Linked DNA regions of Callithrix jacchus. The protein of the gene in region 3 interacts with the protein of the main gene of each other region in a pairwise test. Links are inferred from orthologs where the notes say so. Each region holds a gene or a part of one and is shown on either strand. Other genes may lie near its edges. The genes, in order: FATE1, KASH5, BCL2L2 and BMF.

What was found.
Region 1: the proteins of BCL2L2 (region 3) and FATE1 interact in binary tests that used the Homo sapiens proteins (3 or more experiments, as listed by UniProt). The two-hybrid records come from large-scale screens. The link is inferred for Callithrix jacchus from reciprocal best matches to the Homo sapiens genes BCL2L2 and FATE1.
Region 2: the proteins of BCL2L2 (region 3) and KASH5 interact in binary tests that used the Homo sapiens proteins (3 or more experiments, as listed by UniProt). The two-hybrid records come from large-scale screens. The link is inferred for Callithrix jacchus from reciprocal best matches to the Homo sapiens genes BCL2L2 and KASH5.
Region 4: the proteins of BCL2L2 (region 3) and BMF interact in binary tests that used the Homo sapiens proteins (3 or more experiments, as listed by UniProt). The two-hybrid records come from large-scale screens. The link is inferred for Callithrix jacchus from reciprocal best matches to the Homo sapiens genes BCL2L2 and BMF.

What each region holds. Positions count from the first base shown.
Region 1 is NC_133524.1:148,013,572-148,017,641, reverse strand, and holds the start of FATE1 (fetal and adult testis-expressed transcript protein), read right to left. Parts: upstream 2,863-4,070; 5' UTR 2,781-2,862; coding exon 2,672-2,780; intron 1,677-2,671; coding exon 1,549-1,676; intron 1-1,548. UniProt on the Homo sapiens protein: Involved in the regulation of endoplasmic reticulum (ER)-mitochondria coupling. Negatively regulates the ER-mitochondria distance and Ca(2+) transfer from ER to mitochondria possibly implicating it in the regulation of apoptosis.
Region 2 is NC_133523.1:43,178,714-43,181,551, reverse strand, and holds the end of KASH5 (protein KASH5), read right to left. Parts: intron 1,102-2,838; coding exon 1,037-1,101; intron 961-1,036; coding exon 850-960; intron 748-849; coding exon 606-747; coding exon of another isoform or gene 565-605; 3' UTR 548-564; downstream 1-547. UniProt on the Homo sapiens protein: As a component of the LINC (LInker of Nucleoskeleton and Cytoskeleton) complex, involved in the connection between the nuclear lamina and the cytoskeleton.
Region 3 is NC_133509.1:57,649,390-57,653,566, reverse strand, and holds the start of BCL2L2 (bcl-2-like protein 2), read right to left. Parts: upstream 2,839-4,177; 5' UTR 2,736-2,838; exon of another isoform or gene 2,730-2,735; intron 2,487-2,729; 5' UTR 2,399-2,486; intron 1,931-2,398; 5' UTR 1,923-1,930; coding exon 1,491-1,922; intron 879-1,490; coding exon of another isoform or gene 729-878; exon of another isoform or gene 1-728. UniProt on the Homo sapiens protein: Promotes cell survival. Blocks dexamethasone-induced apoptosis. Mediates survival of postmitotic Sertoli cells by suppressing death-promoting activity of BAX.
Region 4 is NC_133509.1:46,492,419-46,496,439, reverse strand, and holds the start of BMF (bcl-2-modifying factor), read right to left. Parts: upstream 2,844-4,021; 5' UTR 2,831-2,843; coding exon 2,706-2,830; intron 2,320-2,705; coding exon 2,192-2,319; intron 101-2,191; coding exon 1-100. UniProt on the Homo sapiens protein: May play a role in apoptosis. Isoform 1 seems to be the main initiator.

The DNA.
Region 1 (4,070 bases), on a different chromosome or scaffold from region 3:
CATAACCAGCTTTAATTAAACCAGAGGTGATATTCTCCCTAGTCTCGGAGCCTGACCTCCTGGGCAGCTTGATTTGGCTTCTGTCTTTGGACACAGGAAGCCAGATCAACATCTGACCTATTTTTATTCCCAGGAAATCTTTAAACCTGGAAGCCTTTTTTCTCAATCTTCCCTGGGGCCATCCAACAAATCATTTCAGCAATCAAGTCTCCCTCCCTTTCCCAGTAACTTCCAAACTTTTCTGTGGTAACAGTAAAAACCACCATTTTCTAAAATTTTATTAATTTTTCCTCACCAACCTGAATGTGGTGAAAAGCATTGGCTACAGAAAGATGGGATTTGTGATTCCCTAAAGCAGTCAGGTCTCCCTTCTCTCCAAAATAAATGCCTTTTTCAGTATCCTTTGCGACAATGTGGCCAGCATCTTTCTAGAACATTCAACATCCACAGTGAATGTAGCTTAAAGAATTGGCCACAGAACCGTGGGACTCACATTATTTCCTGGAGCAGTCAGTCCTCCCTCCCTCTCCAATCCTGTTGCCTTTTCCCAGCAGCCTTTGCAACAGCATATCAATTTTTCTAAAACTTTCCCTTACCCACAGTGAATGTAGCTAGCTAAAAGGATTGGCTACAGAACTGTGGAACTCACCTAATTCTCCAGAAGAGTCAGAATTCCCTCTCCCTCCAAAATGACTGTTTTTCTCAATATCATTTGCAGCAGTATAGCCACTATTTGTTCTAGAATATTTCTTCACCCATATTGAATGTAGCTTAAAAGCATTGGCTACAAAATTGTCAGATTCACTTCACTGGATTTCTTCCTTTCTTCCTTGCTTCTTCTCTCTCTCTCTCTCTCCCCCACCCCCTTCTTTCTTTTTACAGAGTCTCTCTCTGTTGCCCAGGCTGGAGTGCAGTAGCATGATTTTGGCTCATTGCAACCTCTGCCTCCTGAGTTCAAGCGATTCTCATGCCTCAGCCTCCTGAGTAGCTGGGATTACAGGCATGTGCCACCATGCCCAGCTAATTTTTTTATTTTTAATAGAGATGGGGGTTTCACCATACTGGCCAGACTGGTCTCGAACTCCTGGCCTCAAGTGATCTGCCCATCTCCTCCTCTCAGAGTGCTGGGATTACAGGCATGAGTCACCATGCCAGGCCACTTGACTGGATTTCTTAACAGCCAGAAAGGATAGGAGCCTCACCTGACTTATTGTGTGTATACACACACGTGTACCACACACATAATTTTAAATACAGGAAAGCATTATTTCACGCAATAGATTTACAAAGTAAAGTATTTATTTACTCCCTAAGCAATATTTGTTTCAAGAATTCCGAACTCCCAAGGTTGAACCTCTAGTATAGGAAAGGATGACCGTGACCTTTAACTGGACCTTCCTTTCCTCATTTGCCAGCTCGGAACACAGGAGCTTTCTCTTCCTCCCAAGTCAATGTCTAGCCCTGACTGACCTGGTGAGGCAAGAGCCCCTACAAACAGTACTCCCAATCCCAACCTGGCCACCTTATGCTGAGGACCCCATACAGTACCATTTTCTTGGGCCGGGTGGCAGTCATATTCCAAACTGGTTTGGCTTCAGCAGAGCCTGCAGCTTTTGATTCCACCTTCTGCCTCTTCTGGGGGACACTGAGGGACCGAGATCTATGATCCATCACTTCTAGAGAGAAGAACAGAGGCCTCAGGAGCACCCACAGAAGTTATACCAGGGCTTTTTGGACACGAAACACAGCATAAAAGAAGGCAGAGGCCACAGCCTTCTCGGGAATCACTCAACACCCGTTCAACACTATCCACCAGCTGATCCCAGGCCTCAGTTTGTTCATTTGTTCAAAAGTTAATCAAGCATTTCCTGATGGCTGAGCTCGAGACTAGGTTACTCTCTATTCACTTAGAAAGCAATGATCAAGAACAAGATTCCAGCTCTCAAAGAACTGACCATCTGTTTGTGTATAAGGGGGAATGACAGGTGTACAGCAGAAAGTAATCTATCCTCGCAAATGCAGACAGAGAGACACAGGCTCCATAAACGATCAAAACATGGTAACATAGTAGAAGGAAAGGGCTCCCTCTAAAAAGTAGGAGACAAAAACTGAAGCAGGGACCTGAAAGAAATAAAGGACCCAGCCCTGGGAAATTGAGGGAAAGCACATTCCAGACAGAAGAAACAGCAAATGCAAGGTCTTTGGGGAATAAGCACGCTTGCAGCATTGTAATAACAAACATAAATGCAGTGTGATCTTGGCCCTTTTGTGAGCTATAGAAATGATATTTTCTGTCTATATCATAGCATGAAATGTTTTGAGGAGGCTGATACTATCTTATAGACTGTGGAGTTTGGACTTTCCTCTGAAGGGCAGGGAAATGAATTAGAGCATTGGGAGAGAGAATTGATCTCTGATCTTGTAATTTGAGCTCTCTGAGTATTTTGCAACAGACATGGTGGTGGCTTGGACAAGTGGGAGACAGTAGGAAAAATGCTCCCTTTTCCCTACCTCCCTTATCATCAACCCACAAATCCTCGAAGCTCCCCAACACACACATGTGCAAACACTTCCTTGCACACATGCACCTTTTCCAACACACACATGCACAGGTATAGACACGTATCTACAGAGTTGGCTATAGCCAAGTGGTATTTTAGAGGATCCTCACCTGCTATCCCCAGGTGCTCTTGGTTTTGCCCTTGGCTTCCATGATTCAGTTCTTCAGCCAGGGATATTTCTACCTCCTCCCTGGTGCTGATAGGGCCTCCTGCCATCATAACCAGCTGTTCACTTGTAAGCAATGGCTAAAAATGTGCAGGGTGCCAGAAACAGAGGAGTCACACTCAGAAAATCGCCTCTTCCAGGGACAGGAGCTCAAGGAAGATATAGTAGGACCTGGGGGTGGAGTGACACTCCCTCTCTAGGCTGAGGCCTTGGACTGAGTACCTTCTGTTCCCATTGTATCTAATTGGTTGGGTCCATGGCGTTCTCCCCTGCAACTCTGTAAGCAGCTTAGAAGAGATACAACTCCAAGCTTTTGCCTGTGAGAACTGCTCTGGCTCATGGATCTCCAGATTTAGCTCATGGGGGATCCCATCATCATTTCTAGGCAGATGCAAGGATTGGCACAGGGTCCAAGAGCCACACAGTGGCCACAGCAGAGTTAGGTCCTAGCAATCCAGGCCATACCATGCCTTCAAAAGGGATTCTCTGGAGAGCATATCCTACCTCCCATATCCAGAGTCCCCAAACACAGGAGGCAGCCTTTTTCTGAAGTCGGTCAGCCTAGGCAGGAGCCATGAGAACCAAAGGAGGGAAGGGTGAAAGAGGTGTGACCTGACTGCAGCCACTAGAACCCCAAGGGCCTCAGGCCCTGCACCTTCTAAGTTCCAATTCTCCCTCAGCTTACCTACTGACTAGACCACTGTGATGGTCAGGTTTATGAGTCACCTGGGCCAGGCACTTGCCCCTGGTGATTCCATCAAACACCGTGTAGGTGTTGCTGATGAGGCAATTTGTAGCTGTGATTGGCATCTACAACCAGTGGACTTGAAATAAAGTAGAGACTCATCCTCGATGATGTGGGTGGGTCTCACGCAATCAACTGAGAGGCCTGAAGAGCAAAGACTGAGGTTTCCAGAGAAGAGGCATTTCAACCCCAAGACTGCAGGGTCAACTCTTGCCTGAGTCTCCTGCCTGCCGGCCTGTCCTGTACATTTCAGACTTGTGAGGCCCACAGTCACATAAGCCAATTTCTTAAAATAAATTTCTCTATATTTGTGCATATGTAGATACATACATACATACATACATACATACATACATACATACATATATCCTATCAGCTCTGTTTCTCTGAAAACCCTGATTGCTACAACCACCAATGCTGAACCCTTCATTTAGGAAACAACCCCAGAGCCCCTGGGGTAATAGGAGGCTATTTGTAAAAGGAATCCTTTATAAACCTGTCCTGGTTCCTTTTCCAAATAGCCTCCTCTTCCCCCAGAGTCCCTGGGCCAAGTGGGAGGAAGAGGTGGAAGAAAGGAGGAAAAGAGGGAGGGAGGAAG
Region 2 (2,838 bases), on a different chromosome or scaffold from region 3:
GTGGCTGCAAGGCAGCTGGTCCCTGGAGAGGTACTTGGCCTCCCAGGTCCCAGCCTCCCTTACAGTTGAGAGTGGTGGTCACACCAAACAGTCTGACTGGTGAGACAGACACAAGTCTGCTGGTGGCTCTGGGCAGGCGACTGCTTCTCTTTCATTATGATTATGATCTGAATCTACCCACTGCACACTGAGGCTACTGCCTCTCTTTATAAAAAGGAAGGGACGAGCTTCCGTCTCCCTGCAGATGTGATGTGGGAAGCTACAACTGCCAGCTCCTGAGCGTGAGGGGACGGGAGAATCACTGAGGCCCTGACCCCAAGGCAGCTGAGACTTCGCTGTGTGCCCACAGCTGCCCTTGCCAGGCTTGTTTTGTGAAGGAATAGTCCTTAGTGCTTAATCTGTGACTGGGGAAGTTTTGCTTTTGTTAAATGTCAACATTAAATAACTAGGAGCCTTCACATAAACCCAGTCCAGGGATGTGGATCCCCCTGTACGGTTTCTGCGATAAGCCCGTGCAACACTGGCCTAACATAGGGGATCCGAGCGGAGAGAGCGCCAGGGGATTTATTGAACTACACACTGTTCTGAGGGACAAGCAGAGCCTCTCACACTGGAGGGGGCTGGAGGTAACAGAGCTGGAGGTGGGGCAAGGTGGGAGGTGGGGACTGGCCCAGCAGCAGGACAGAGAGCAGCAGCAGCAGCAGCAGGCCCAGGACTGGAGCTGGGATCATCGGATACCGAGTGACCCTAGTGGGGAGGTGGGAGAGTGCTTAGGGCAGGGTCCAGGCAGCCCCTGGTCTTCCCAATGTCAGAACACCTTCTTCCTTCTGGAGGTGCCTGGGGGCACACCTGAGTCGCTGTGGGGGCAGGATGAGCTGGCCCCAGGGCCTCCTCCTGACTGGGACCAGCTCCTTCATCACAGGGACCAGGGCTTGCCGGAGATCCTGCTGGGCAGGGCTGCTGGGGGAAAGGAGGGAATCAACACTGGTTTTTCCTTGTCTCCAATTTCCCTCCTGGACCCCATGGGTCCTATTACCTCCTTGGAGGGCTTTCTGCGATGTCTCCAGAGTGAGAGTCTCCTAGAGGGATGGGGAGATCAGCCTGGAAGGACGAAGAGATGCATTTGAGGCACTGGGTTCTGGACTGAGAGGCCCTCAGGTCAGCCCACTGGACACAGTGACCACACAGAAGGTAGTGGAACTCAGGAGTTGAATGAGCTTCTTTGAGACATGCTGCCAGGTTGGGTTCCCAGTTCTGCCAGCTTCTGGCTGAGAGCCCTTGGCATGTTACCACACCTCTCCGTGCCTCTCTTTCCCCATCTGCTAGCCAGGGATGTCCCCACCTCATAGGATTAACATGGAGACTAAATGAATGAAAAAGGCAGGCAGTGACTTGGACAGTGCCTGGTACATAGTGAGTGCTCAATGTCTGTATGAGCTATTCAATATCATCACCTCCATTTTCCATCAGATTCTGGAAGTATCTAAGCTCTTTAAGGGCAGAGACCACATCTTCTACAGGTGCCCACCCCCGTGCTGGACCTCATGCAGAATCCTGTTTTCCTGCCTATGCCAGAATCGGCAGGTGCTTTAATTAAAAACAGCCCATCATAGGCTGGGCATGGTGGCTTACACCTGTAATCCCAACACTTTGGGAGTCCAAAGTGGGCAGATCACAAGGGCAGGAGATTGAGACCATCCTGGCCAACATGGTGAAACCCTTTCTCTACCGAAAATACAAAAATTAGCTGGGTGTGGTGGCGCATGCCTGTAATCCTAGCTAGTTGGGAGGCTGAGGTGGGAGAATCACTTGAACCAGGGAGGCAGAGGTTGCAGTGAGCCAAGATGATGTCACTGCACTCCAGCTTGGCGACAGAGCACGGTTCTGTCTCAAAAAAACAAACAAAAAACCCCATGCTATTATAAATGGTATAAATTTAATTTTCTCATTGCTCATTGTTGCCACACTGAAATATGACTGATTTTTTATTTTGACCTTTAACCCAGCAACCATGCTGAATTCACTGATTAATTCTAGTACTTTATCTGAAGATTCAAAGATTAAAGTCCCAGCTGTTTCTCCAGGGGTCAGGCCCAACCCACTGTACCGCCTCATCCCTCGTGTCTCCCTGGAAGGGCCTCCCCTTATAGGTCTTTGGCCTTCCCACCCCTGCTTCTTTCTGACGAAGATGAGGATGATGATCAATAAATTAAAACAGAACACCAATCATGATCAGTATCTTCACCTCCAACGCCTGTTGTGCTAGGCAGGCACCCAGGCCCTTTACGACGTGGTCCTTAACCCTCATCCCAACCCTGGGAGCTAGGAAGAGATTGTCCCCATGTGAGCGATGAGGAAGCTGAGGTGGATCCCCAGTCTCTGGGGCAAGGGAGTGGACTTTGGGGCCAGGCTGCTGGGAGCTGAGCATCCTGGAGGCAGCCATCTTGGCTGATTTGGACCCTGAAGAGCCCCAAGGGCCCTGACAGTGCCTGACCTACAACAGGCAGACTCCAGCCCAGCTCCTGCATTCCTCAGCTCAGAACCGAGGGCTCCTCACCTCTCCTTACCAAATTTATTTCCCCTTCCTTGCCTGAGAATCAAAATCCTAACTTCCACTGGGCACAGCTACTCTGAGGAGCAGAGGAGCCAGCCTGTGTGGCTGCAGGCAGGGGAGCTGTGGGCATTGTGCCCCCAGGGAATTCTGAGGCTGGCTGGGGAGGGCCAGCCCAACCTCCTCCGAGTGTGGGCGAATGTGCGTGTGCATTTATGCAATCCGTGGGTGTAGCCACGTCTATGAGGCCTGCCGTATGGCGACTGCAGCCTTGTGTGTGGCTGGAG
Region 3 (4,177 bases):
GGTCACTGCTCTTCTTGCCAAAGCCTTGCCAATTACTTTCTGGAGAGAAGCAGCAGAGCCCTATGTCTGGATACAATGTTTCTCTCTAAGCCTTGAGGCATCAGGACAACGGCAAGGGAAAGGAGGGGTTGTGGGGGGCAGGGCAGAGAACTGCTCCTAGTTCTTGCCATTGCAAGAGGGAATGTTTTCTCCTTGGGGAATACCACCACCACCAGATTTGCCAGGCAGCCCAGCATGCACAGCAGCATGCGTGCACATGCACACGTGTGTCCAAGCAGCCCATGGTTACAGCCACCTCTCCCTATCGCCCAAGAACCCTCAAGCTTCCATTCCAAAGGGATGTACCTTCTATGTTCCCCAAATTCCACTCATCCAATGGAAACACAACTGCTTATGCAAGTCCACATTCCTCATGGCTACAAACCAAGTTCCAGGTCGTTTCATGTGCCCACACCTATAGGCATGATCCCTCCCACCTCCCCCAGCCCTGGAACGACTCCATCTCCTGCCCCCCTAAACTTGCCAAAACATTCCCCTCCCCTATGTCCTGCTCATTCTTCTAATCGCCTACCTGGCCTACTCAGCTCCCTTACACACTACCCTTCCCCTGCCCATCCCTGTTCCATGCCCACCCATCCACCAACTCCACTTCTTCCAAGGGCATTTCTCTGTTCTGTTCCTGCTCTCCAGACCCCCAGCCACACCTAGCCCCACCTGGCCCTGGACTTTCACTTGCTAGCAAAAAAGGCCCCTACAGTTACCAGGGCCCCCAGTGCCACGGCCCCTGTCAGCACTGTCCTCACTGATGCCCAGTTCCCCTCCCGCAGACGCCGCGCCTCCTCCAGGGCCCCGTCCCCGTATAGAGCTGTGAACTCCGCCTGTGGGAGAGAAGGGAAGTAGGAGAGAAAGAAGGAGAAAGGGATATCAGGAGAGGAAAGAGTGGAGAGAAGAGGAGAGGAAGAGTTCCAGTTCCATTCACTGCGAGCACTACCCCATTCCCAGCTCCTCTCTAGTCAAGGCTCTACTACAAGCCCCTCTGATCCCCCCAGGCATACCCCCACCCTGAGAGACTGGTTCATTTGCCCACTCTGTCTCCAGTGAATTCCATCCTTTCCTTGGCGAAAAATTCTGCTCAGAACTAGCATCCTTTGCCAAGGATTGCCTGACCACCCCCCATCCCTGATCCTCCCCACCTCCCATGCCATGACTCAGATGCAAAAAGTCCCTGACACCATTCCCCTGCAGGCACTCCTTGGGTGCATATTCTGCCCTCTGCTTGGGACCATGAGCCCATCCAGTGTTGACTGCATGGCAGCCCTGGAGTGCAGAGCCCAGGCATCTCTCAGTCTGATTCCACCCAGACGGGGAGCCTCAGCCCCATACCTCATTCCCAACATAGCTGCCTCAGCCTCCAATCAGAGCCCCCATCTTCCCCCTGGAGACCAGCTTTGCAGAGGGATGTGCAGAGCGGCAATTGAGAAGCTTCTTACCCAGCCCCCACTGCTGTGGATCCAGTCGGCCAGCCGCGTCTCCAGGTAGGCCACCATCCACTCCTGCACTTGTCCCACCAGTGGTTCCATCTCCTTGTTGACACTCTCAGCACACAGTGCAGCCCCAAAGACAAAGAAGGCTACAAGGCGGCCCCAGTTGGGACCCCCTTGGAAAAGTTCATCGGAGACCTGGGTGAAGCGTTGTTGGGCTGAACCTGGGGTCACATGCAGCTGAGCCGCCAGATCAGAGAAGGTGCGCCGGAAGCGGGTCTCGAATTCATCTCCAGCTGCCCGCATTGCTTGGTGCAGCGGGTCAGCTGCTGGGCCCTCCCCGGGGCCAGTTCCACAGACATAACCTTTCTGCCTCAGCTTATAACCTACAAAGTCTGCCACCAGAGCCCGTGTGTCTGGGGCGGAGGCTGGGGTCGCCATCCGGGCAGCTATAAGAGGCAAGGATGAAAGACTGGCATTAATATATGGACAGAGAACCAGAAGGAGAATTTCTGGTTTGCCCAACCCAGTGAGATGGGGAGGATGGAGGAAATGCTCAGAGCTCACTAGACAGGGAGAGGCAAGAACAAGGGAATTAAGTTATGATGCGGGACCAGGGTTCGATAGGCTGGCCATTACATCCTAATATGCAAAATTAAATGCAAAACAAGTAAATTTTGTTTAGAACACTTTAGATTCTTTTCATAATAAGACAACGTCAGCTCTGTGACACCCCTACACACCTCCCCCTGCTCAGTCCACACCTTCTTGGCCAGAGGAAGGGGCTTAGGACCTCCCCAAATGCAAGATGTAAAGATGTTGGCAGAGGCACAAGATGAAGGGGAGCAGATGGGCTGAAGAGAAAGGTGGGAGACGCAATGGGTTCCTCCAGACAGAGAAAGGAAGGAGACACTCACCCAGCCGGGATGGCAGCTCTTAAGACACAGCGCTGGTGGCAAGGAGCCCCCAGCTGGGGCCTTTCATCCTCCCAGCCAGCGTGGAGCCCTGAAAAGGGGAGGGGGAGATCAGAACCAGGAGGGGAAGGCCAGGGATCAGGGTCTGGCCTGGGAGGGCTGGGGTTGCAGCTCTGGGCCTGGGCCCCTGCCCCCAACGTTCTACTAGCTGTGTGGCCGAATCCATGTTTAATGACTGTCCTCCTGGGAAACCCAGGGCGAAGGGCTTCCTGCCGACACCATCTCTATTCCCGGTTCCCCCTAGTGCAGCCCAAAGGCCCAGCTCCTCCCTTACCCCCACCTCAGCCAGTCTTCAACCCCGCCCGCCTGCCAGGTTAGGGATCTCACGGGTCAGGCCGCTGCCGGGATCCGGGCCGTTTCCTGGTGCAGGAGCTGGGAGGGAGGGAGAGAGGGAGGAAAGGAGGGAGGGAAGGAGGGAGGAGAAAGGGGGGGCAGAGGGAGGGCCCGGCGCCGGGTGATGATGGGGCCCAGAGATGCGTCCAGAGAGAGGGGCGGGGCTGGGACGCAGGCCTGCGAAGGGCCACTACTCAGGAAGAGGGAGGGCTGCTGAAGGCTAAGAAGGACTGGCTGAGAGGGCACAGTAAGCTGGGCTGGGCTGGGTTCCTGAGCCTCGAGGCTGCCCAGAGAAGTATGCTGGACTTCAGGACATCTCGAGGCAAATTCAGCATTTCCAGGAGGTTTCCGATGTTCCATGCACTTGTTGAACTTCTCCAGCCCTGGATTGTGTGTGCCTGGAAAACAGGAGCAGTTCCCATTAAGCTGAAAACCGCCTGCCAGGTGCCTTACCCTTCTGGGACTAGCAGACACCACACAGACACCAAACCTTTCCCATCCTCTTTTCTCCACGACCTTTAACCCAGTGTTCTGCTTGTGGGCTGGGCTTCAGCCAGGCATCAGGGAGCCAGGACTTGGATCACAAGCGGTTTCTGCTGGTCCTTTTCTTTAATTCTTCATATTCTTTTGTAATAGATTTATTTTACTTTATTTTATTTTATTTTTTACCTAACACATGAACTACTTCTCATGGAAAAAAAAATCAAATAAAGAGGTACGGAGTAATAAAATGCAGGTTCACTCACACACACACACACACACACACACACCATTCCACTTCCCTCCCTGCAGGTTGCCAGTGTTAAACTTGATGTTTATCTTTCCAGATTACACATATATTCGGCCATTATTTATACATGGCAGTATATTTATATGGGGCAGACCACAAGGCGTTAAGCAGTCTAACCACAGCTGATCCACATGAGGGCACTCACAGCCAGCCCCCTGGGCTCTTGGATCTGGCATTTCCTCCATTTAAACATCACCCCAAACAAAGGCCAGAAAGAGGAGATCCAATTCTCTTTTTCTGCTAGTTCCCTTTGCTTCTACCTCCAATCCAAGCCTTGGTATTACCAACTGCCCTTATGGTCACTAGAGAAGCAAGGTCTTTTCTGCAGCAATAATAGTAACAACTAGCTGGGTTTGGTGGCTCATTCCTATAATCCCAACACTTTGGGAGGCTGAGGCAGGCAGATCACTTGAGGCCATGAGTTCCATTCCAGCCTGACCAACATGGCAAAACCCCATCTCTATTAAAAATACAAAAATTAGCCAGGTGTGGTGGTGCACACCTGTAATCCCAGCTGCTCAGGAGGCTGAGGCACAAGAATCACTTGAACCCAGGAGGCAGAGGTGGCAGTCAGCTGAGGTCATGCCATTGCACTCCAG
Region 4 (4,021 bases), about 11 Mb from region 3:
GCAGAGAGCAAGCTCCCGGGTTGGGTCCCTGGCTCCCCATCCTCTGGCTGGAACACATCATCCTCCAGCTCCTCCACACACTGAGATGGCTCCATCTCCCCTGTAAGAGGGCAACGCAGACATCTGGGATGCTGCCCCACCAGGGCCACACATATAAGGACTCCCCTTCCCTTCTTTCTTCTCTGTTCCCCCTTCTTATTTGAGGGGACCGGGCCACATACTGATGACACACAATCCTAGTAATAAAGCACTGCCAAGGGTGACACCCACTCCCAAAATTTGAACTGCCTCAGTGTTCAGGGGCCCTCCACACCTCTTCCTTGGTCCCGCCTGGAACCACTGTTTTTCCTGATCCTGTTTCTGACCTAGGCCAGTCACAAAGTTTGACTCGGGGTTGTGAGCAATAACAGGAGTACAATCAACAGCTATAGGCATGCAGGGTACCTGGGAAAATATAAACAAGACTAGCCTCTGTAAGTTGCTGTCAAGGGTGCTGTGACTGGCTATATATACAATGCTCACAACACACACACACACATACAAACACACACAAAGTCATTGCCCCAAGGAAACTCTTATCTCAGTCTGAGCTTAGCTCCAGACTCAGCAGCAGAAACAAAAGCCCGCAGTCCTAGGGCAATCAGGTTCCCTCCAAACCCCTAAGCCCCGCCCTGCTGCCCATCTACTCTAATCTCCACCCCTTGCTTGCACAACACAACAAACAGGCTCTGCAGTGTGGTAAGAGTATGTCCTGGGAGAAGGGATAAAAACCCAAGTTAGTCATCGCAGGTGCCGTCTCGCCTCTCTTTGAGCAGAGTTGAGCTATCTGCCCACCAAAGCTTGGCCTGGAAGGTAGGTCCAGCCTCTCCCAGCTAAGTCTCCTCACTAGTCTCCAAGACTTCAAATCCTTGTCTCCACAGCCTCCCACTCCTGCCAGCTCAGAACCTGAGACCTGAGATTGGCGTAATTGGTCTTACAGAAGGAAGTGAAATTCACCCCTCTCCCTGTGACCTCACTGTCTCTACTACTCAGGTTATTGATGAGAGTTTCTTGGTAATAAAGAAGTACCTCTTACTCCACCTGATGGCTCTTGGAAGTCTGAGCTTGGAGCTACCCAGCATCTTAAGCTTCCAACCTAGCTCCCTGCACACACCAGGAACCCCTTAAGATCCCTGCAGCAGTCAGAAGCAGCAACCACCTGAACAGCTAAGGATAAAAAGAGATGAATTTCATCTTTGTCAGACTCAATTAGAGATTCCTGGGTGTTCTGTTCCCCAGTCTCTTCCCTTTGAATAACAAGCCAAAAGGTCTGTAAGTTGATGAAGTTGCTAAAACAATTTCAGTTCAATTCAGAACCCTGCCTTTGCCAAATGCAGGCTCTCTGTGAGATGCTTGCTCCGGGCCCGGCTTCATCCCATCCCATCCCAGTCCCTGAGCTGTCTATGGTCCTGTCTCTACCATCATCCCTGGAGAGTGAGGATATGCCTGCTAGGATGGCAAGCAGCCATGTGGTGTTCTTTGGACAGTGTTTCCCAAGTGGTGTGTGTGTGGGGGGGTGCACTCCAGCTTATTAGCGACAGGAAACAGCATTTCCTGATGAAAGGACCAAGTGCTGTCCTGCCAGTCACCTGGCAGGGGCTCCCCTCCAGCCCTCCAATCTCTTCTTAGAAGGGGCCCTCAAAGCCAATCACAAGCACAAGTCATTGTCTTGGTTTTTCCTTTGAAGCCTATCACCTTCCCCTCCCCCTCCCAGCAAAGCCCCAAAGTTCAAGGCTTGCACAGACTGGACAGTGGGGTAAGTGCAGCCAGAAGGCGTGGCTCTGCAAGCCCCAGGGACCCCTTCACTCTCCACAAACTGCCGGTAGCTTGCCTGTAGGTGGACACCTCTGGAGTGGTGCTTGGCAAGGTCAAGGGTAAACTAAGAAAAGGTGAAGAAATCCTTTCCTCCCTTTTCTCCTGAGCTTAAGAGGTGATATCAAGAGTAGGGGGAGGAGGGCACTTCCTGAGAACAGTGCCAGGGAATGCTTTACTCCTAGCAAAGGAACTAAAGACCCGCTGTAGCCATCCCAGCCCCTAAGGGATCGAAGAGGGATGCTGAACTTAGACTCCTCCTCCTCTTAGGAGAATGCAGTAGCCAAACAGCCCGAGCTTACACACACACACACACAGCCACCCACCCACCCACCCAGACCTGGGTGACTCCAGGAGAGGGTCTCGGCCTCCGAGTCGTGATGCCAGGGCTCCGCGCCAGGGTCCAGCGTGACGAGCACTCGGGGGCTTGATGCCCAGACTCGATTGGGAAGGAGGGAAAAAGCCCAGCTGTTAAGGAGAGGAGCCTTCAGACTCCGCAGAAAGGCAAGATGCCCCACAACTCCTGTCCTACCCCAAAGTCAGACCCAGAGGCTGGGCCGCTCTCGGGCACCCAGGTCTGCTCAGCAGTGCACCCAGGTTCCTCCGCCCACCTGGACCCAACTCCTTCGAGTCCCAAATGCTAGCCCCAAGTTCCCTCTTGGAGCGGCACACCCAGCTGTGGGTTCTGCACCTCGGTCCCTCACCCCAGGGCCCCAGTTCTTCATGGTCACCCCAGACGTCCGCAGCCCAAACCCTTCCAGGGCCCCTATGCGCAGCGCGACTCCTCTCCCTACTTCCCCAAGGAGCTGCGATCCAACTCCGCCCGGCCCCCCGGCCGCCACCCGGGCTCTCACCGGGCTGCGGCGGGAGGCGGGAGGCGCAGGCAAAGGGCGGCGGCGGCAGCGGACGCGGGCCGGGGCGGGAGGAGGCCACTCCGCACCGTGCGGTATTGTTTCCAAAATACGCCCGCTCGGGGCATCCCGCAAACAGCTGATGAGGCCCCGCCCCTCTTCGCGTCACGCCGAGGACTGGCCAATGGCGAGTGAAGCGCCAAGTCCCGGGCTGGGCAGCTGCCAGGGACGGTCACGAATGTACGAACCTTCCCAGGGAAACATTGCAAGGGACCGAGCAAAATTCCGATCCTCACCAGAAGCGCAGTTAGAGCGCCGTCTCCCTCACGGATTCTGTCCCTAACACAGGCTCTGGAAGCGCCAGAGAGTCCCTGAATCCTATCAGGTGTGGGAGAGGGGGCGCCAAAGTAACTTTTGTCTTCTTTTTCACGGGAATGGACAGAATAATTGCTGCGCGATCAGAAAGGGTGGGGGGAAGGAGACAGGGAGTTTTTTTTATGAGGCTGGCGCGTCCAGTGGGGGCAGGGTACAGGGTGCCTATGGGATCCCAGCCTCGGGGGAAAGCTCCCTCCAGCCTGCCGAGCTGGTCTGAAGAAAACTGCAGCCCCAAAGCTGAAGGTGTGTTTGAAACAAACACATTCAGAGGAGCCCTCAGGTCCTCTTCTTGCCTGGGCGTGGGCACTGGCAAAATAAACATCTGGATGAGAAGAGGAGCGCAAGAAGGCAAGGGCTGCTTGAGCGGTTGATACATATCGCTATGGCAGCATTTAGAGACTGTGCTGGTGCTCCCAGAAGAGCAGCGTGTCCTGCAGACCGCACAAGGGAGTCTATGGGCTACTTCACAAACATTTACTGAGCACCTACTCTGTGCCAGATACTGGGCTAAGTGCGAGAAACCTGGAGTCTGTCCTCAAGGAGCTTACAGTCTTCTAGGAGAGGTAGCCCTGAAAATAGTGAAAAGCCATAGGGATGGTGTTCATTCCAAGGATAATGACTCTTGAGGAGTGCAGAAAAATTCAGAATATAAAGGTTAGGGAAGGCTTCAGGAAGATGGCTTTTAAATTGAATGGGAAATATTTTTCAATAAGGAAAACCAGATGCGAATGGCTCACGCCTGTAATCCCAGCACTTTGAGAGGCCGGGGCGGGCTGATCATTTGAACTCAGCAGTTGGAGACCAGCCTGGCCAACACGGCGAAACCCTGTCTGTCTACTAAAAAATACAAAAGTTAGCCAGGCTTGGTGGTGCATGCCTGTAATCCCAGCTACTTGGGAGGCTGAGGCAGGAGAATTGCTTGAACCCAGGAGGCGAAGGTTGCA